4 linked regions of the Saccharomyces cerevisiae S288C genome follow. The protein of the gene in region 1 purifies or fractionates together with the protein of each later gene. This does not show direct contact. Each region holds a gene or a part of one and is shown in the gene's direction. Other genes may lie near its edges.

What was found.
Region 2: the proteins of UTP21 (region 1) and UTP10 purify together in Saccharomyces cerevisiae (affinity purification with mass spectrometry; 6 studies listed by BioGRID). This does not show direct contact.
Region 3: the proteins of UTP21 (region 1) and UTP13 purify together in Saccharomyces cerevisiae (affinity purification with mass spectrometry; 6 studies listed by BioGRID). This does not show direct contact.
Region 4: the proteins of UTP21 (region 1) and MPP10 purify together in Saccharomyces cerevisiae (affinity purification with mass spectrometry; 4 studies listed by BioGRID, with this or other methods). This does not show direct contact.

The regions. Positions count from the first base shown.
Region 1 is NC_001144.5:933,895-939,022, reverse strand, and holds UTP21 (rRNA-processing protein UTP21), read left to right. Parts: upstream 1-1,789; coding exon 1,790-4,609; downstream 4,610-5,128. Other genes in the region: inositol polyphosphate kinase VIP1, read right to left, coding at 1-1,482; BLS1 (Bls1p), read left to right, coding at 4,770-5,128. UniProt on the Saccharomyces cerevisiae protein: Involved in nucleolar processing of pre-18S ribosomal RNA and ribosome assembly.
Region 2 is NC_001142.9:211,464-218,909, reverse strand, and holds UTP10 (snoRNA-binding rRNA-processing protein UTP10), read left to right. Parts: upstream 1-1,600; coding exon 1,601-6,910; downstream 6,911-7,446. Other genes in the region: YJL107C (uncharacterized protein), read left to right, coding at 1-57; pheromone-regulated protein PRM10, read left to right, coding at 54-1,205; GZF3 (Gzf3p), read left to right, coding at 7,333-7,446. UniProt on the Saccharomyces cerevisiae protein: Involved in nucleolar processing of pre-18S ribosomal RNA. Required for optimal pre-ribosomal RNA transcription by RNA polymerase I together with a subset of U3 proteins required for transcription (t-UTPs). Involved in ribosome biosynthesis.
Region 3 is NC_001144.5:578,768-583,473, reverse strand, and holds UTP13 (U3 snoRNA-associated protein UTP13), read left to right. Parts: upstream 1-1,702; coding exon 1,703-4,156; downstream 4,157-4,706. Other genes in the region: IFH1 (Ifh1p), read left to right, coding at 1-1,241; RSA3 (Rsa3p), read left to right, coding at 4,450-4,706. UniProt on the Saccharomyces cerevisiae protein: Involved in nucleolar processing of pre-18S ribosomal RNA.
Region 4 is NC_001142.9:437,020-441,146, forward strand, and holds MPP10 (rRNA-processing protein MPP10), read left to right. Parts: upstream 1-1,845; coding exon 1,846-3,627; downstream 3,628-4,127. Other genes in the region: AVT1 (Avt1p), read left to right, coding at 1-1,591; MRX12 (Mrx12p), read right to left, coding at 3,975-4,127. UniProt on the Saccharomyces cerevisiae protein: Involved in nucleolar processing of pre-18S ribosomal RNA. Required for the early cleavages at sites A0, A1 and A2 during 18S ribosomal pre-RNA processing.

The DNA.
Region 1 (5,128 bases):
TACAAAAGAAAATCCGTTAACATCAATGACGTAACTTTTACCAGAAACGCGAAGCAAATCGAAACCACAGATCATTTGTGAAAAAGCTTTGGAAACTTTCCCAGCAATGGTTTTCTCTTCGTCTGATAACTCAGTAATATATCTAACTTCTTTACCATGAGTATTTCTTCTAACTATACCATCAACCACAGGTGATTTCCTAGTTTCAGCGTGACAAAAGTTCTCACCAATCGTATAAGCCTTCACATCTTCGAAATTATCGGTATCCATAAACTGCTCATAAATGTAAGACCCCTCCGTACGAGGATGAACCAAAGTAGGATCAAACTCAGAAGACTTGTTACCAACTTTACGGAATAGACGACGACCGCCTCCTCCGTTCTTAGAATGATAGTATATATAAATGTTGTGGTCTTCACCATCAACGGGCTTTTCAACAAAGGGCTTAGTCATGGTTTTCCCATCAACTTCTAAAGTATCATCATCAACCATTTTCCATTCCGGTTCTTCAACGGGTTTAACTTCTACGCCATGCTCACGTAATTTTGCCCTTAATTCTTCGTTGGCACGGGGACCACCATCTCTACTGATTTCCAGTCTAGGAGGTGTTGGAACGTTGTAGGCTTCTAATACTTGTAGACATAATCTCCTGTCCCACAAAATCTTTTGCATTATTAAATCATTGATAATGAAAGGCTTGCGTAACTTGACGTATTTAATTGCTTTATCTAGGGGAAATCCTGAAGAAAAGAAAGATATCAAAAAGTCGCAAGTTGGCCAATTCTCTATTCTTTCATCTAGAATCACCTTATCTCCAAAAATGACAGTTTCAAATTCACCATGTTCAATTAAACGATTCAAAATGTGTCTCATTGGCTTTGAAAGGACTTTTGCATCCATTGCACATACCCCAATCTTCCCTACCTTGGGTAGCCTAGGTTTGGGATGACTAGTCGAGGATTTGCGTGAAGAAGCTGATGAAGTAGGTACAGAGTTAGTTCCCATGTTAGTCTGCTCAGCGTCCATTGTTCCTTGAGGTAAATGGGGCGATCCGGTCTTGGAGATGGAATTTATGTTATCTGCATCATTGACTATGTTAGAATTGCTGAGCCCCTCAGGATCAGCTTCTGACTTTGATTCACTGTCTGCCTTTTTTAAACCGGAAGTTGTAACTGTATTGGTGTTGTTTCCGTTTCCTAGTGCAGTGCTTATGGTTCTTTGCAGAGTATCATGCACGGTGAGATTCTCTTCACTGTGATCATCTTGAATACCGGGAGGTGGCAATTTCAAAGACATATTTTCGCTAGCTGACGTCTTAGGACTGAAACCCTCCAATATTGGTGCAATAGATTGCATAGCCTTCTGTGTGTTTTTGTTTAGGAAAAGGGGTGACATCTCAGAAGGTGCACTAGGTAAGTTATTTTTTGTCTCTTGTTGAGGAACCTCATCAGATTCAATCGGTTCCTTCTTTATCCCACTCATGACCTTCTGCAATATATTAATATGCTACGAGATGCTTTTGAATTTGTATGAAATGCTCAGTGGGTAATTTAAGTGGTGAACATATTGATTCAATGATTAATTGCATTTTTCCTATCTTAAATAAATGATTTTCTAAAAACATTTTTGAGCACGTGCTTTTTTTTTTTTAACTGAAAAATTTTGAGAAAAATTTCGCGATGAGATTGCTAATGAAATTTAATAAGTCCTAAGCACAATAAATATACAGCGAAACAGCAGCAAGGAATAAGACACTGAAAAGGCTATAGCGAGTTAGGAATAGTACATTATGTCTATCGACTTGAAAAAAAGAAAAGTCGAAGAAGACGTAAGAAGTAGAGGGAAAAATTCTAAGATATTTTCCCCTTTCCGGATTATTGGTAATGTTAGCAATGGTGTTCCTTTTGCTACTGGTACATTGGGATCTACCTTTTACATTGTAACGTGTGTTGGTAAAACATTTCAGATATATGATGCGAATACCTTACATTTACTTTTTGTTTCCGAGAAAGAAACACCATCCTCAATTGTAGCATTATCAGCACACTTTCACTACGTCTACGCAGCATATGAAAACAAGGTTGGTATTTACAAGAGGGGTATTGAGGAACATTTGCTTGAGCTAGAAACTGATGCAAATGTCGAACATTTGTGCATATTCGGAGATTATCTTTGCGCTTCCACCGACGACAATTCCATCTTTATATACAAGAAGTCCGATCCGCAAGATAAATATCCATCAGAATTCTACACTAAACTTACCGTTACTGAAATTCAAGGTGGCGAAATTGTGTCTTTACAACATTTGGCAACTTATTTGAATAAATTAACTGTCGTTACCAAATCTAACGTTTTACTTTTTAACGTCAGAACCGGGAAGCTTGTATTCACATCAAACGAATTTCCAGACCAAATCACAACTGCTGAACCCGCTCCAGTCCTGGATATTATTGCTCTAGGTACCGTGACCGGTGAGGTTATTATGTTTAATATGAGAAAAGGTAAAAGGATCCGCACAATTAAGATTCCGCAATCAAGAATCTCCTCATTGAGTTTCAGAACCGACGGTTCTTCTCATTTGAGTGTGGGAACGAGCAGTGGTGATCTAATATTTTATGATTTAGATCGCCGTTCAAGAATACACGTTTTGAAGAACATTCATAGAGAATCGTACGGTGGTGTCACTCAGGCTACTTTTTTAAATGGTCAACCCATTATTGTTACATCAGGTGGTGACAATTCCCTGAAGGAGTACGTTTTCGATCCGTCATTATCTCAAGGAAGCGGTGATGTAGTTGTTCAACCGCCAAGATATCTACGTTCCAGAGGGGGTCATTCTCAACCACCTTCATACATTGCGTTTGCTGATTCGCAATCACACTTCATGCTATCAGCATCCAAAGATAGATCATTATGGAGCTTTTCTCTGCGTAAAGATGCACAGTCGCAAGAAATGTCACAAAGGTTACACAAGAAACAAGATGGCGGCAGGGTAGGTGGTAGTACAATTAAGTCTAAATTTCCTGAAATAGTGGCTCTTGCAATTGAAAATGCCAGAATAGGTGAATGGGAAAACATTATCACTGCACATAAAGATGAAAAGTTTGCAAGAACCTGGGATATGCGAAATAAAAGAGTTGGCAGGTGGACTTTTGATACTACTGATGATGGATTTGTTAAATCTGTGGCCATGTCGCAATGTGGTAATTTTGGATTCATCGGTTCTTCTAACGGCTCTATCACCATCTATAATATGCAAAGTGGTATACTCCGTAAAAAATACAAATTGCACAAAAGAGCAGTCACCGGTATATCCTTAGATGGTATGAATCGTAAAATGGTTTCTTGTGGACTAGACGGTATTGTTGGTTTTTATGACTTTAACAAGTCAACCTTGTTGGGAAAATTGAAATTGGATGCACCTATTACCGCAATGGTTTATCATCGTTCTTCCGATCTATTTGCATTGGCTTTAGACGACTTATCAATTGTTGTTATTGACGCAGTTACTCAAAGAGTTGTTCGTCAATTATGGGGTCATAGTAATAGAATAACTGCATTTGATTTCTCACCTGAGGGCCGTTGGATTGTTTCCGCTTCTCTAGATTCCACCATTAGAACGTGGGATCTTCCAACCGGAGGATGTATCGATGGTATCATAGTAGATAATGTCGCTACGAATGTAAAGTTTTCTCCGAATGGTGACTTGCTTGCCACTACCCATGTTACTGGTAATGGTATATGCATCTGGACGAACAGAGCACAATTTAAGACAGTATCGACAAGAACCATCGATGAGTCTGAATTTGCAAGAATGGCGTTACCTAGCACATCTGTTCGAGGGAACGACTCGATGTTATCAGGGGCTTTAGAAAGCAATGGAGGAGAAGACCTAAATGATATTGATTTCAACACTTATACATCATTGGAACAGATTGATAAGGAGCTGTTGACTTTATCAATAGGACCTAGAAGTAAAATGAACACATTGCTTCATTTAGATGTTATCAGAAAACGTTCTAAGCCAAAGGAAGCTCCAAAGAAATCAGAAAAGCTTCCATTTTTCTTGCAACTATCTGGGGAAAAGGTTGGGGATGAAGCCTCTGTCAGAGAAGGCATAGCACATGAAACACCAGAAGAAATCCATCGCAGAGATCAAGAAGCACAAAAGAAGTTAGATGCAGAAGAGCAAATGAATAAATTCAAAGTTACAGGAAGATTAGGGTTTGAATCACATTTCACAAAGCAATTACGAGAGGGCTCACAATCCAAGGACTATTCATCATTGCTGGCCACTCTAATAAATTTCTCACCTGCTGCAGTGGATTTGGAGATAAGATCATTGAATTCCTTTGAGCCATTTGATGAAATTGTGTGGTTTATCGACGCGTTAACACAGGGGTTGAAGAGCAATAAAAATTTCGAACTTTATGAAACGTTTATGAGCTTACTGTTTAAGGCACACGGTGATGTTATTCATGCTAACAACAAGAATCAAGATATTGCCTCTGCTCTTCAAAATTGGGAGGATGTACATAAGAAGGAAGACAGATTAGATGATCTTGTGAAGTTTTGCATGGGAGTGGCAGCTTTTGTGACCACCGCGTGAGCATTATATAGAACAAGTATATTAGTAACAAAGGCAGATTGTATATTTTTCTTTTTCCTATGATGTTTTTTGAGAGGGTAACCAAGAATTATTTATTGGGTTTGTTGCAGTGTTCTTAAAGGGTCCCTCCCACATTTAATAAATGATCGACAATAAATAAATGTTCCTTACATTCTCAATGTGTGTGAACTGGATAATCGTAAAAATGCCAAACAGGTCTGAAGAACTTGACCGATTACTCGACAAAATAATCAACTCTCCGCATAGAACAGAAGCCTCGAAGACTTTGCAAGAAATTGAAAATAATCAATCATATATTTTAAATGTACAGTTGAAGAAGTTATTGCGACTTCATGACGACTCATTTAAAAATAAGTGTGTTTCTCCTATTAACTATATGTTGGAAAAGTACACTCCGTATATGGGGCATACCGAAGCATTACAAAAGGAAGCAGAGCTTGTGGATAGGGATCTCCGAATCCTTGAAATGACGTACCAACTGATAGAAAAGAATCGCAA
Region 2 (7,446 bases), on another chromosome or scaffold:
ATGACTTCTAGAGTCCTTGAAATAGATGGTCAGTTTTGTATCTTCCAGGTTGTATGATTGTTTCATTTGGTGATGCAACAACAAGAACTTCCGAAGTTCAATTGGTTAGGTGTACTCAAGGTCTAAACCTTTGGAAGCTGCATCAAGTTCATGCCGTTTACAAAAGAGTTGTCCATGATACCTTAGGTGCCGATGAAGGTAATGCTTTACTCGATCAAATTTTGGCTGACACGAATCTATATCCACCTTGGATGTGTGTTCTTTTATATGCATTTTGTTCCGCTATGGTCACTCCGTATGCCTTTGGTGGCGATTGGGTAAACCTGGCAATCTCATTTTTTATGGGGCTTTGTGTGGGGTCATTACAATTTATTCTTTCACAAAAGTCATACATGTATTCAAACGTCTTCGAAATTTCTGCATCTATTGTCGTTAGCTTCTGCGGTAGAGCTTTTGGCTCTATCCCTCGTTCTCACATCTGCTTTGGTGCAGTTACACAAGGCTCATTGGCATTAATCCTGCCAGGTTATATTATTCTGTGTGGTGCACTAGAACTGCAAAGTCGAAGCCTAGTTGCTGGCGCGGTCCGTATGTTCTACGCCATTATTTATTCTTTGTTTTTGGGTTTTGGCATAACATTGGGCTCAGCTTTGTTTGGATGGATGTATCACAATGCCACTAACGAAATTTCATGTCCTCAATTAATTTCTCCGTGGTTCAGGTTCCTCTTCGTTCCAGCGTTTACCATTAGTATCTCGTTATTAAATCAAGCACACATCTCACAACTGCCAGTTATGGTCTTCATTTCTTGCACCGGTTATGTCGTAACATATTGGGCCGGTAAGCATTTTGCGAATTCGACAGAGTTTACTGCCGCCTTAGCTGCATTTGTCATAGGTGTTTTAGGTAATCTATATTCCAGAATTTGGAAAGGTTTAGCGGTATCAGCTATGCTTCCCGCAATCTTCGTTCAAGTGCCATCTGGTATTGCTTCACAAAATTCGTTGTTGTCTGGGTTGCAAAGTGCAAATACAATTGTTAATGCTAATGAAACCATTACGACAAGCACCTCCGATCCATCGTCCTCAATGTCATTTGGTATGACAATGATTCAAGTTTGTGTCGGTATTTCTGTGGGACTATTTGCTTCTTCACTCTTTGTCTACCCCTTTGGTAAAAAGAAAACTGGTCTTTTCAGTTTATAAGCTCTCACAAGGTCCACTTCGTTAGAAACTTGTTAACCAATGGACCAAGTGTTGCCATTGGGTCATTCTTCAGTATCAAAGAAGACTTTGACCCACTAAGAAAAATTTCAAAAGTAAATTATAAATATAGCATTAAGTACAAATAACATATCAGCTTATGAATCCTTTTTTTCAATTTTATGGTTTCATAGCCAATAATCATAACATACATAGATTAATAATATTCAAGTCACATGACTTTTTTTTTTTTCTTTTTTCTTTCTGCGTTAAGCAAAGAAAAAAATTTTCAGTTAGCGATGAGCTAGATATTTTCGAAGGTGTAACAAATACTTTCTTTATTACCTTTCAGAATCAGACTTATCTAACTGGCCACCAAAGTACGAATAACTTTGAAAATGTCTTCGTTGAGTGACCAATTAGCTCAAGTTGCTTCCAACAATGCTACTGTTGCGTTGGATAGAAAGAGAAGACAAAAACTTCATTCTGCTTCTTTGATTTATAACTCAAAGACGGCTGCAACACAAGATTACGATTTCATTTTTGAAAACGCTAGTAAGGCTCTTGAAGAATTGAGCCAAATTGAGCCAAAATTTGCCATTTTCTCAAGAACACTCTTTTCAGAGTCTTCCATTTCTCTTGATAGAAATGTCCAAACAAAAGAAGAAATTAAAGATTTGGATAATGCTATCAATGCTTACTTGCTATTGGCTTCTTCTAAATGGTATTTAGCACCTACACTACATGCAACAGAATGGTTGGTTCGTCGTTTTCAAATACATGTTAAAAACACAGAGATGCTGCTTTTGTCCACTCTCAACTACTACCAAACACCTGTCTTTAAGAGAATTCTCAGCATTATTAAGTTGCCCCCTTTGTTTAATTGTTTGTCGAATTTTGTTAGAAGTGAAAAGCCCCCAACGGCGCTAACCATGATAAAGCTCTTTAATGACATGGATTTTCTGAAACTTTATACCAGTTATTTGGATCAATGTATTAAGCATAATGCAACGTATACTAACCAGCTTTTATTTACAACATGCTGCTTTATTAACGTTGTTGCTTTCAATTCAAACAACGATGAAAAACTGAATCAGCTTGTTCCAATCTTACTTGAAATATCTGCTAAACTTTTAGCCTCTAAATCAAAGGATTGTCAAATAGCTGCACATACCATATTAGTTGTATTTGCTACAGCTTTGCCTTTAAAGAAAACAATTATCTTAGCTGCCATGGAAACCATTCTTTCAAACTTAGATGCTAAAGAGGCAAAACATTCAGCACTCCTCACGATTTGTAAGCTGTTCCAAACATTAAAAGGACAAGGTAACGTAGATCAGCTACCTTCCAAAATTTTCAAGTTATTTGATAGCAAGTTCGACACTGTGTCTATACTAACCTTCTTAGATAAGGAAGACAAACCAGTTTGTGATAAATTCATTACTTCCTATACAAGATCCATAGCAAGGTATGATCGGTCCAAATTGAACATTATTCTTAGCCTACTAAAAAAAATAAGACTAGAAAGATACGAAGTTAGGTTGATAATCACTGATTTGATTTACCTTTCCGAAATTTTAGAGGACAAGTCACAATTAGTAGAACTATTCGAATATTTTATCTCCATAAATGAAGATTTGGTGTTAAAATGTTTGAAATCATTGGGACTGACAGGCGAACTCTTCGAAATCAGGCTTACTACATCTTTGTTCACTAATGCCGATGTTAACACCGACATTGTAAAGCAGTTAAGCGACCCCGTGGAAACTACTAAAAAGGATACCGCTTCATTTCAAACATTCTTGGATAAGCATTCAGAATTGATAAACACAACGAATGTGTCCATGCTAACAGAAACTGGAGAAAGATACAAAAAGGTTTTATCTTTATTCACTGAAGCTATTGGTAAAGGCTATAAAGCAAGTTCCTTCTTGACTTCATTTTTCACTACTTTAGAATCAAGAATAACGTTTTTGTTAAGAGTAACTATATCTCCAGCCGCTCCAACCGCGCTAAAGCTAATATCTTTAAACAATATTGCAAAATATATTAATAGTATTGAAAAGGAAGTTAATATTTTTACTTTAGTTCCATGCTTGATTTGCGCTTTGCGAGATGCTTCTATAAAAGTTAGGACTGGCGTGAAGAAGATTCTTTCCTTGATTGCTAAAAGACCATCCACTAAGCACTACTTTTTGTCTGATAAACTTTACGGAGAGAACGTTACCATTCCTATGTTAAATCCCAAAGATAGTGAGGCATGGTTATCAGGATTTTTGAATGAGTACGTTACTGAGAATTATGACATATCCAGAATTTTAACGCCAAAGAGAAATGAAAAAGTCTTTTTGATGTTTTGGGCTAATCAAGCCCTACTAATACCTTCTCCGTATGCCAAGACAGTGTTGTTGGATAACCTGAACAAGAGTCCGACTTATGCATCTTCTTATTCCTCCCTATTTGAGGAATTTATTTCCCACTACTTAGAAAACAGATCTAGTTGGGAAAAGAGTTGTATTGCTAATAAAACAAACTTTGAGCATTTTGAGCGCTCTTTAGTTAATTTGGTATCACCAAAAGAAAAGCAGTCATTCATGATCGATTTTGTTCTCAGTGCTCTTAACTCAGATTATGAGCAGTTAGCTAACATAGCTGCCGAGAGGCTTATCAGCATATTCGCTTCATTAAATAATGCTCAAAAACTAAAAATCGTCCAAAATATCGTGGATTCTTCGAGTAACGTAGAATCATCGTACGATACAGTCGGTGTACTACAATCATTGCCGTTAGATTCCGATATTTTTGTATCCATACTAAATCAAAACAGTATCAGTAACGAAATGGATCAGACAGACTTTTCTAAAAGAAGAAGAAGACGTTCATCAACAAGTAAAAACGCATTTTTGAAAGAGGAGGTTTCGCAACTGGCGGAATTGCACCTGAGAAAGTTGACGATTATTTTGGAAGCACTTGATAAAGTCAGAAATGTTGGATCCGAAAAGCTTTTGTTCACTTTACTTTCCTTATTATCAGATCTGGAAACTTTGGATCAAGACGGTGGATTACCGGTTTTATATGCGCAAGAAACTTTGATTTCTTGTACGCTGAACACTATCACATACTTGAAGGAACATGGCTGTACAGAACTAACCAACGTAAGGGCAGATATATTGGTATCCGCTATTAGAAATTCTGCATCTCCGCAAGTCCAAAACAAACTATTACTTGTAATTGGATCTCTTGCTACTTTAAGTTCGGAAGTTATTTTGCATTCTGTAATGCCTATCTTTACTTTTATGGGAGCCCATAGTATTCGTCAAGATGATGAATTCACAACTAAAGTTGTTGAGCGTACGATACTAACTGTTGTCCCTGCCTTGATCAAGAATAGCAAAGGAAATGAAAAAGAGGAAATGGAGTTCCTTTTGTTGAGCTTCACAACCGCTTTGCAACATGTTCCAAGACATAGGAGGGTTAAATTATTTTCTACGTTAATCAAAACACTTGATCCAGTAAAGGCACTGGGCTCGTTCCTTTTCTTGATTGCACAACAGTATTCTTCAGCTTTAGTCAACTTTAAAATTGGCGAGGCAAGAATATTAATTGAGTTTATTAAGGCCCTACTCGTTGATCTACATGTCAATGAGGAATTATCAGGTTTGAATGACTTACTCGATATCATCAAATTGTTGACATCATCAAAGAGCTCCTCGGAAAAGAAGAAATCACTAGAATCCCGTGTCTTGTTTTCAAATGGTGTCTTGAATTTTTCGGAAAGTGAATTTTTGACATTTATGAACAATACCTTTGAGTTTATCAATAAAATAACCGAGGAAACAGATCAAGATTATTACGATGTGAGGAGAAATTTAAGACTAAAGGTATATTCTGTTTTGTTAGATGAAACAAGCGATAAAAAGTTAATTAGAAACATCAGGGAAGAATTTGGAACCCTTTTAGAAGGTGTTCTTTTTTTCATTAATTCTGTAGAATTAACCTTTTCATGTATAACTTCCCAAGAAAATGAGGAAGCTTCCGACTCTGAAACATCATTATCAGATCACACGACTGAAATAAAGGAGATTCTATTCAAGGTGCTTGGCAATGTGTTACAAATTCTACCAGTTGACGAGTTTGTTAATGCGGTATTACCCTTACTCAGTACATCCACTAATGAAGATATTAGATACCACCTAACGTTGGTAATAGGGTCCAAATTCGAGTTAGAAGGCTCTGAAGCTATTCCTATAGTTAACAATGTGATGAAGGTTTTGCTCGACAGAATGCCTTTGGAATCTAAATCTGTTGTTATTTCTCAAGTAATATTGAACACGATGACGGCTTTAGTGAGCAAATATGGTAAGAAGCTTGAGGGGTCCATATTAACTCAAGCCCTCACCCTTGCTACTGAAAAAGTTAGTTCTGATATGACAGAGGTCAAGATATCTTCGTTGGCATTGATAACTAACTGTGTTCAAGTTTTAGGAGTCAAGTCAATTGCGTTCTATCCAAAAATAGTCCCACCTTCTATTAAATTATTTGATGCTTCATTGGCAGATAGTAGTAACCCATTAAAAGAGCAGTTGCAAGTTGCTATACTGTTGCTGTTCGCCGGTCTAATCAAAAGGATACCAAGTTTCTTGATGTCAAATATTTTGGATGTTTTGCATGTTATTTATTTTTCCCGTGAAGTTGACAGCAGCATTAGGCTGTCAGTAATTTCATTGATAATTGAGAATATAGATTTGAAGGAAGTTTTGAAAGTTTTATTCAGAATTTGGTCCACTGAAATAGCAACGTCCAATGATACAGTTGCTGTTAGTCTATTTTTGAGTACATTAGAATCCACTGTTGAAAATATTGATAAAAAATCCGCAACCTCACAATCGCCAATATTTTTTAAGTTACTATTATCTTTATTCGAATTTAGATCCATTTCCAGTTTCGATAATAATACAATTAGTAGGATAGAGGCATCCGTTCACGAAATTTCCAACTCTTACGTCCTGAAGATGAATGACAAAGTATTTAGACCGCTATTTGTTATATTAGTAAGATGGGCGTTTGACGGTGAAGGCGTTACAAATGCAGGTATCACTGAAACAGAAAGACTGTTGGCATTTTTCAAATTTTTCAACAAGCTTCAAGAAAATTTGAGAGGTATAATTACTTCCTATTTCACGTATTTGTTAGAACCTGTTGATATGTTGTTAAAAAGATTCATTAGCAAGGACATGGAAAACGTTAATTTAAGACGTTTGGTAATCAACTCTCTAACCTCTTCGCTAAAGTTTGATAGAGACGAATACTGGAAATCAACTTCCAGATTCGAGTTAATTTCTGTATCCTTGGTCAATCAACTATCTAATATAGAAAACTCTATTGGGAAGTACCTGGTCAAGGCAATTGGCGCTCTGGCTTCTAACAATAGTGGCGTTGATGAGCATAACCAAATTTTGAATAAACTAATCGTTGAACACATGAAAGCTTCCTGTTCCTCCAATGAAAAATTATGGGCTATTAGAGCCATGAAGTTGATATACTCAAAGATAGGTGAAAGTTGGTTAGTTCTATTGCCACAGCTCGTTCCCGTCATCGCTGAGTTATTGGAAGATGATGATGAAGAGATCGAACGTGAAGTCAGGACCGGTTTGGTCAAGGTTGTTGAAAACGTTTTAGGGGAACCTTTTGATAGGTATTTAGATTAGAAAAAAAAGGTGAAGTATTATGTAAATTTTTGTAAAGTAAAACACTATGCTGTTGAACGAAATCTTTCATTGAAAATATTGTTATTCATTCGTGATAGCTGCCCCTTTCTGAGTTTGAACTTAATATTTCAATTACGCTACTTCAAGTTTCAATGAGATATTATTCTGTCATCTTTCTCGTCGTTCCTAGTGATTAACGTTACTAAAATTACTGATCCTAAATAGCGGGCGAACAGAGTGAAAATTTTCTTATCTTCGCTTATCTGCGCTTATCAATCCTAATCAGTGAAAAATAAGATATAGGCTTGATAATAAGGTAGTTTGAAAGAGAACATATTGCAAGCGGTTGAAGCTATAATACTAGATATACGAATATCATTTCGGGTATTTGTACTGTGCTCTACAATTCTACTGGTAATATTATGGCATCGCAGGCTACAACTCTTCGAGGCTATAACATTAGAAAACGAGATAATGTATTTGAACCAAAATCAAGTGAAAACCTCAACAGCTTAAATCAAAGCGAAGAAGAAGGG
Region 3 (4,706 bases), 360 kb from region 1:
TTGTGTACGTTGATGACGAATCCACAGATGAAGATGATAACCTACCGCCCCCAAGTTCAAGGTCAAAAAACATTGGCTCAAAAGCAAAGGAAATCGTAAGTTCAAATGTTGTTGGATTACGTCCACCAAAATTGGGTACTTGGGAGACGGACAACAAACCTTTTAGTATTATTGATGGTCTGTCTACTAAATCATTATACGCCTTAATCCAAGAACATCAACAGCTTCGCGAGCAACATCAAAGGGCTCAAACCCCAGATGTTAAAAGAGAGGGAAGCTCTAATGGCAATAACGGTGACGAATTGACACTCAATGAGCTGCTAAACATGAGTGAATTGGAGGATGATTCACCATCCCACACAGACGATATGGAGAACAATTACAATGATGCAATTAATAGCAAAAGCACAAATGGCCATGCTGCAGATTGGTATGAAGTTCCTAAGGTTCCATTATCTGCATTTAGAAATAAGGGTATTAATGCCTATGAAGAAGATGAGTACATGATACCAGCAAATTCTAACAGAAAAGTTCCCATTGGCTATATTGGTAATGAAAGAACAAGAAAGAAGATTGATAAGATGAAAGAGCTACAACGGAAAAAAACTGAAAAAAAAAGGCAGTTAAAGAAAAAAAAGAAGCTTCTTAAAATAAGAAAGCAAAGACAAAAGGCAATAAAGGAGCAAGAAACTATGAATTTACAATTGGGAATCAATGGCCATGAGATCATCGGTAACAATAACAGCCATAGCGACATAAATACCGGTACCGATTTTACAACCAATGAAAATACCCCTATGAATGAACTTCCCTCTCACGCACCTGAAGATGCGTCATTAATACCTCATAATTCTGATCTTGCCGTGGACAGCAATACAAGGAAAAATTCAACAAAAAGTGTTGGTTTAGATGAAATTCATGAGATTTTGGGCAAAGATGAAAATGACTTACTGTCTGTAGGTGATATTAACGGTTATGATGCACAAGAAGGTCATGTGATCGAAGATACTGACGCCGATATCCTAGCATCGTTAACCGCTCCTGTGCAATTCGACAATACATTAAGCCATGAAAATAGTAATTCCATGTGGAGAAGAAGGCAAAGTATGGTGGAAGCAGCGGCTGAAAATCTTCGTTTCACTAAAAATGGTTTATTTAGTGAGAGTGCATTGGCAGATATCGAAGGAATTATGGGCAATGATGTTAACCATTCATTCGAATTCAATGACGTCTTACAATGAGCTATTTTGCATTTTTTTATGGTTACTACAATCAAATCACCTTTCGTTTACAATATCATCATCAGTATGTGACTTTGCCTTATTCTACTCTGAATTTTGCTTTATCGTTGGTTGAAAAGAATTACATGTTATTTTTTTACTTATATATGCATATTTTTATAGAAAAACACAATCAATATTTTTTTTACTGGTATAATCCGTCCAATCAGACGTATAAAAGTAAATAAGCCTCAAGCAACCCCATTTGATGGATTGCCTTACTCTTCGACTCTAGTTGAGATGATAACCTCATCCACTCTTCTGGCGATTAAGATGGAGCTTCTTAATATATCCGTGTAAAGCGACTGAAAATTTTCTGAAAAATTCAGCTCATCGCTCTCAGATATAATAGCGGTATGGCATTAAAGGTGTGAACCAACAACATAGTACTCTCAACGGTAGTAAGCCATACTACGTACAATATGGATCTGAAAACCTCATATAAAGGTATATCGTTAAACCCTATTTATGCAGGAAGCAGTGCTGTTGCCACTGTTTCAGAAAATGGTAAAATACTAGCTACTCCGGTGCTTGACGAAATCAACATAATCGATTTAACCCCAGGCTCCAGAAAAATTTTGCACAAGATTTCTAATGAAGACGAGCAAGAAATTACTGCACTGAAATTAACTCCTGATGGTCAATATCTCACGTATGTTTCACAAGCTCAGCTTTTAAAAATCTTTCACCTTAAGACCGGGAAAGTTGTCAGATCAATGAAAATCTCTTCTCCATCGTACATTCTCGACGCAGATTCCACTTCAACGCTTCTCGCAGTCGGAGGGACAGATGGTAGTATAATTGTTGTGGATATTGAAAATGGTTACATTACTCATTCGTTCAAAGGTCATGGTGGTACAATTTCCAGTTTGAAGTTTTATGGACAATTGAATAGTAAAATATGGTTATTAGCATCCGGTGACACCAATGGTATGGTAAAGGTTTGGGATCTTGTTAAAAGGAAGTGCTTGCACACATTACAAGAGCACACATCTGCTGTGAGAGGGTTGGATATCATTGAGGTACCAGATAATGATGAGCCAAGCCTAAATTTACTTTCCGGTGGTAGAGACGATATCATCAATCTCTGGGATTTCAATATGAAAAAGAAATGTAAATTGTTGAAAACACTTCCAGTAAATCAACAGGTAGAGTCATGCGGATTCCTAAAGGATGGTGACGGTAAACGCATAATTTATACAGCCGGCGGTGATGCTATCTTTCAGTTAATTGACTCTGAATCTGGTAGCGTGCTTAAAAGAACCAATAAACCTATAGAAGAGTTATTCATTATTGGTGTACTTCCAATATTGAGCAATTCACAGATGTTTTTAGTATTGTCTGACCAGACATTACAACTAATTAACGTTGAAGAAGACTTAAAGAATGATGAAGACACAATACAGGTCACTTCGAGCATTGCTGGTAATCATGGTATTATTGCTGACATGAGGTATGTTGGCCCAGAGCTGAATAAATTAGCTTTAGCTACCAATTCTCCATCGCTTAGGATAATACCCGTCCCCGATTTATCAGGCCCAGAAGCTTCGCTGCCTTTGGATGTCGAAATTTATGAAGGTCATGAAGATTTGCTAAATTCATTGGATGCTACTGAGGATGGCCTGTGGATCGCAACCGCCTCTAAAGATAATACGGCTATTGTTTGGAGATACAATGAGAACAGCTGCAAGTTTGATATTTATGCCAAGTATATTGGTCATTCAGCTGCCGTAACTGCTGTTGGATTGCCAAATATAGTTTCAAAGGGATATCCTGAATTTTTATTGACAGCATCGAATGATTTAACAATTAAGAAATGGATAATTCCAAAGCCAACTGCTAGTATGGATGTTCAAATCATCAAGGTATCCGAATATACTCGTCATGCCCATGAAAAGGATATCAATGCTTTGTCAGTTTCTCCTAACGATTCTATTTTTGCAACAGCATCATACGACAAGACCTGTAAGATCTGGAACCTAGAAAATGGTGAATTGGAAGCCACGTTGGCCAACCACAAGCGTGGACTATGGGATGTATCATTTTGCCAATATGATAAATTATTGGCAACTTCTTCAGGTGATAAAACAGTCAAGATATGGTCATTGGATACATTCAGCGTTATGAAAACATTGGAAGGTCATACCAATGCGGTTCAAAGATGTTCGTTTATTAATAAGCAAAAACAACTGATCAGTTGTGGTGCTGATGGCTTGATCAAAATATGGGATTGTTCTAGCGGTGAATGTCTGAAGACTTTGGATGGTCATAATAATAGATTATGGGCTTTAAGTACTATGAATGATGGTGATATGATCGTAAGTGCTGATGCAGATGGTGTTTTTCAGTTTTGGAAAGATTGTACGGAACAAGAAATAGAAGAAGAACAAGAAAAAGCTAAATTACAAGTCGAACAAGAACAATCGCTTCAAAATTATATGAGCAAAGGTGATTGGACAAATGCATTTTTGTTAGCAATGACTTTAGATCACCCAATGAGGTTGTTTAATGTTTTGAAAAGAGCTTTGGGCGAATCAAGGTCTAGACAAGATACCGAAGAGGGCAAAATTGAAGTCATTTTCAATGAAGAATTGGACCAAGCCATCTCTATCCTAAATGATGAACAGTTAATTTTGTTAATGAAACGATGCAGAGATTGGAATACAAATGCAAAAACACATACCATAGCGCAAAGAACAATAAGATGTATTTTGATGCATCATAACATAGCAAAATTGAGTGAGATACCCGGAATGGTAAAGATAGTTGATGCAATAATTCCATACACGCAAAGGCATTTCACAAGGGTTGATAACTTAGTTGAACAAAGTTACATATTAGACTACGCGCTAGTGGAAATGGATAAGCTATTCTAGGCAGTAAGTCCAAGATATTGAGCCTTTAAAAGCAAGGCAATAGCAACATATTATTTTGTAAACTAGATATATAAAGACAAAATGCATTGATGAAGCGGAAAGCTTAAAATAATTCGATATATAATTAGGTGCCTTTACGGGCATTGAAAACTTCTTTGCGCGAAGAGCTCATCACTAAAAATTTGCAAAAAACGAAGAGCGAAAACTTTCATATATTGTAGTAATATATACAAGAATTTAAACTGCCCACTTGAAATAGCACGGAAAGAACTAGCCATAATATATTATACAGGATGTCGGCAGGTGATATATCAGCCATAAATATCAAGTCTGTCAAAAAAAACAGAAGGAGGAAGAAGAGAAGAACAGCTGATGTTTCATCATCAGATTCTTCATCATCGGATCCATCATCAGAAAGTGAAAAGGAGGAAATCCAAAATGGGGCCATCGAAGAACACGTTGGAGAAAATGGTAAAAGTGATCATGTTTTCTCAAAAGGTAATGACGAAGACAAACAAGAGGACATTGCAATAGAAGTTTCGGATGTCGA
Region 4 (4,127 bases), on another chromosome or scaffold:
GAGAGCCAATTCGTTTCGTAATATCGAGCTAAATGCGGATAATGAAAGATCCTTTTTCAAAGAGAGTAACGATGAAACCTACGATCCGGATACTTTAGCACCAGCTTTGGACGGTAGAAGATTATCAGTAACTTTAAATAATGCTGGTCGCCCGCGCATTACTAATTTGGCTAACAACGATAGAGTTAGTACAGCCAGCATGGCTATTCACGATGATGATTATGGGTCCATCCAAAATTCAACAATTGGGGATTCTGGGTCAATATTACGCCCTACTGCCTCCTTAACAGAAATGATGAGTGGTGGAGCGGGGAGAAGGTTTACAAATAATGACATGGATTCAATTGTAGTGAAGAGAGTGGAGGGTGTAGATGGTAAGGTAGTAACTCTTCTTGCTGGTCAGTCGACCGCTCCACAGACCATATTCAACTCAATCAATGTACTGATTGGTATTGGGCTCCTGGCGTTACCTCTTGGTTTGAAATACGCCGGCTGGGTTATAGGACTTACTATGCTTGCAATCTTCGCCTTAGCGACATTTTGTACTGCTGAACTTTTGTCTAGGTGCCTAGATACAGATCCAACTTTGATATCTTACGCGGACTTGGGATATGCAGCATTTGGTACAAAAGGGCGCGCACTAATTTCTGCTCTTTTCACACTTGACCTACTGGGTAGTGGGGTGTCCTTGGTGATTCTCTTCGGAGATTCTTTAAATGCTCTATTTCCTCAATACTCCACCACTTTTTTCAAAATAGTTTCATTTTTTATCGTTACACCCCCGGTTTTTATACCATTGAGTGTTCTATCTAATATCTCGCTTCTGGGAATCCTTTCAACAACCGGAACTGTGCTAGTCATTTGCTGCTGCGGACTATACAAGTCGTCTTCTCCAGGTTCATTAGTTAATCCGATGGAAACGAGCATGTGGCCGATAGATCTAAAGCATCTCTGTTTATCTATAGGTTTATTGAGTGCCTGCTGGGGAGGACATGCGGTTTTTCCCAACTTAAAGACAGATATGAGGCATCCAGATAAATTTAAAGACTGTTTGAAAACTACCTATAAGATAACATCGGTTACGGACATAGGTACTGCAGTTATTGGCTTTTTGATGTTTGGAAATCTTGTTAAAGATGAAATTACTAAGAACGTTTTGCTGACGGAGGGATATCCAAAATTCGTTTATGGTCTGATTTCAGCGCTTATGACTATCATTCCTATCGCAAAGACCCCATTGAACGCAAGACCTATCGTTTCTGTATTGGACGTTCTGATGAATGTGCAACACATAGATGAAGCGGCCAGCGCCATAAAAAGAAGAGCTGCGAAAGGCCTTCAAGTATTCAATAGGATCTTTATTAATGTTGTCTTCGTTTTGATAGCTATTAATTTCCCTGAATTTGATAAGATTATCGCATTTCTGGGGGCCGGTTTGTGTTTTACAATTTGCCTAATTTTGCCGTGTTGGTTCTATTTAAGATTGTGCAAGACAACAATCAAACCATGGGAGAGAGTGGCTTGTCACGTAACCATATGTATTAGTGTCGTGTTGTCCACATTAGGTGTTGGTGCTGCAATTATTTCATAATCGACGAGGGGCATACTTACTCTACTTAAAATTCATTTACATTAGCTCTGTACTTCTGATAATGAAAAACCATTGCGTAATATACATATTTTCGTGTAGAATTATTTCCATAAAATATTCACCGCCTTTTCTGTACTGGCCGCCGGCATGCGAGGGAAGCAGAAAATTTTCAATTTTGCGATGAGCTCTTGAAGAAACAGTGTTTTGTTATGAATAAATGATGTGTGCACGAAAGACCCAAGGAAAGTCGTATAATGTCAGAACTCTTTGGAGTATTGAAATCTAATGCTGGCAGAATTATTTTGAAGGACCCCTCCGCCACTTCTAAAGATGTTAAAGCATATATAGATTCAGTTATCAATACCTGTAAGAATGGGAGTATTACAAAGAAAGCAGAACTGGACGAAATCACTGTTGATGGTTTAGACGCCAATCAAGTTTGGTGGCAGGTCAAACTAGTTCTTGATAGTATTGATGGTGATCTAATTCAAGGAATTCAAGAACTCAAAGATGTTGTCACGCCTTCTCACAATCTCTCTGATGGTAGCACCCTGAACTCATCATCCGGGGAAGAAAGTGAACTAGAGGAGGCAGAAAGTGTTTTTAAAGAAAAGCAGATGCTCTCTGCTGATGTTTCTGAGATTGAGGAGCAGAGTAATGATAGTCTTTCCGAGAACGATGAAGAACCTAGTATGGATGACGAAAAAACCAGTGCAGAGGCAGCTAGAGAAGAATTTGCGGAGGAAAAAAGAATTTCTTCTGGGCAAGATGAAAGGCATTCTTCACCCGATCCTTATGGTATCAATGATAAGTTTTTCGATCTCGAAAAGTTCAATAGGGATACTTTAGCTGCAGAAGATTCTAACGAAGCTTCTGAGGGGAGTGAGGATGAAGATATAGATTATTTTCAAGATATGCCTTCAGATGACGAGGAGGAGGAGGCTATTTATTATGAAGACTTTTTTGACAAACCCACAAAAGAACCTGTGAAGAAGCACTCTGACGTAAAAGATCCAAAAGAAGATGAAGAATTGGATGAAGAAGAGCATGATTCTGCCATGGATAAAGTGAAATTAGACTTATTTGCGGATGAGGAAGATGAACCGAATGCTGAGGGAGTGGGAGAAGCCAGTGACAAGAACTTATCTAGTTTCGAAAAGCAACAAATAGAGATTAGAAAACAGATAGAACAATTGGAAAACGAAGCGGTTGCCGAGAAGAAATGGTCTTTGAAGGGTGAAGTAAAGGCAAAGGATCGTCCCGAAGATGCATTGCTCACTGAGGAACTTGAATTCGACAGAACTGCAAAGCCTGTTCCTGTTATAACAAGTGAGGTCACAGAATCATTAGAAGATATGATTAGACGAAGGATACAGGACAGTAACTTTGACGACCTTCAAAGAAGAACCCTGTTAGACATCACACGTAAGTCTCAACGGCCTCAATTTGAATTGAGTGATGTTAAATCCTCGAAGTCGTTAGCAGAAATATATGAGGATGACTACACACGCGCTGAAGATGAATCTGCATTAAGTGAAGAGCTTCAAAAGGCACATTCCGAAATATCAGAACTTTATGCTAACTTGGTATATAAATTGGATGTGCTTTCATCAGTGCACTTCGTTCCTAAGCCAGCAAGTACTTCTTTGGAAATTAGAGTTGAAACACCCACTATATCGATGGAGGATGCTCAACCTCTCTATATGTCGAATGCCTCTTCTTTGGCTCCTCAAGAGATATACAATGTCGGTAAAGCAGAAAAGGACGGAGAAATTCGCTTGAAGAATGGTGTTGCAATGTCTAAGGAAGAATTAACCAGAGAAGATAAAAACAGATTGCGCAGGGCTTTGAAAAGAAAAAGATCGAAAGCTAATTTGCCAAATGTAAACAAAAGATCTAAAAGGAATGATGTTGTTGACACTTTGTCAAAAGCCAAGAATATTACTGTTATCAATCAAAAGGGTGAAAAGAAAGATGTTTCCGGTAAAACGAAGAAGAGCAGATCAGGGCCAGATAGCACAAATATAAAACTTTGAACACGCCGAAGAAGACTTAGTTTGTATTTAGGTAAAAAATTATTTCTTCATAACTCTGTTCACCCAGCATTTTTTATGGAATATCGACCTTGTAATGTCATTAACCCCTTAAAGGACCACTTAAAGAAAATGAAGTGCATCATGAAATATTCATGACGAGATGCGGAACATATACACTCATAAATACCAGAAGAATGTGCTGAATAATTTTTTGTTGGTAATTGGCTGTCATTTAAAGTATCGTTGAAACAAGAGGTATTGGAAGATAGCTAATTTTAGTATTATTTATGACGTTCTTTCCTGGATAAATGTAGATGTATATACGTAATAAAATGTTAATTAGTAAGTTATATGCTTTCCATATAATGTTCTATCTTAGTCTGCATAACTTGTTTGCTTGTTTTTGTTTCTAACGCTTCTCCATACTGGGCTAAGAGATTTTTTATTTTTTTTGCAGCAGTCGGCCCTGATATCAGCTTTTCTCCTAGTGCGCCATCAAA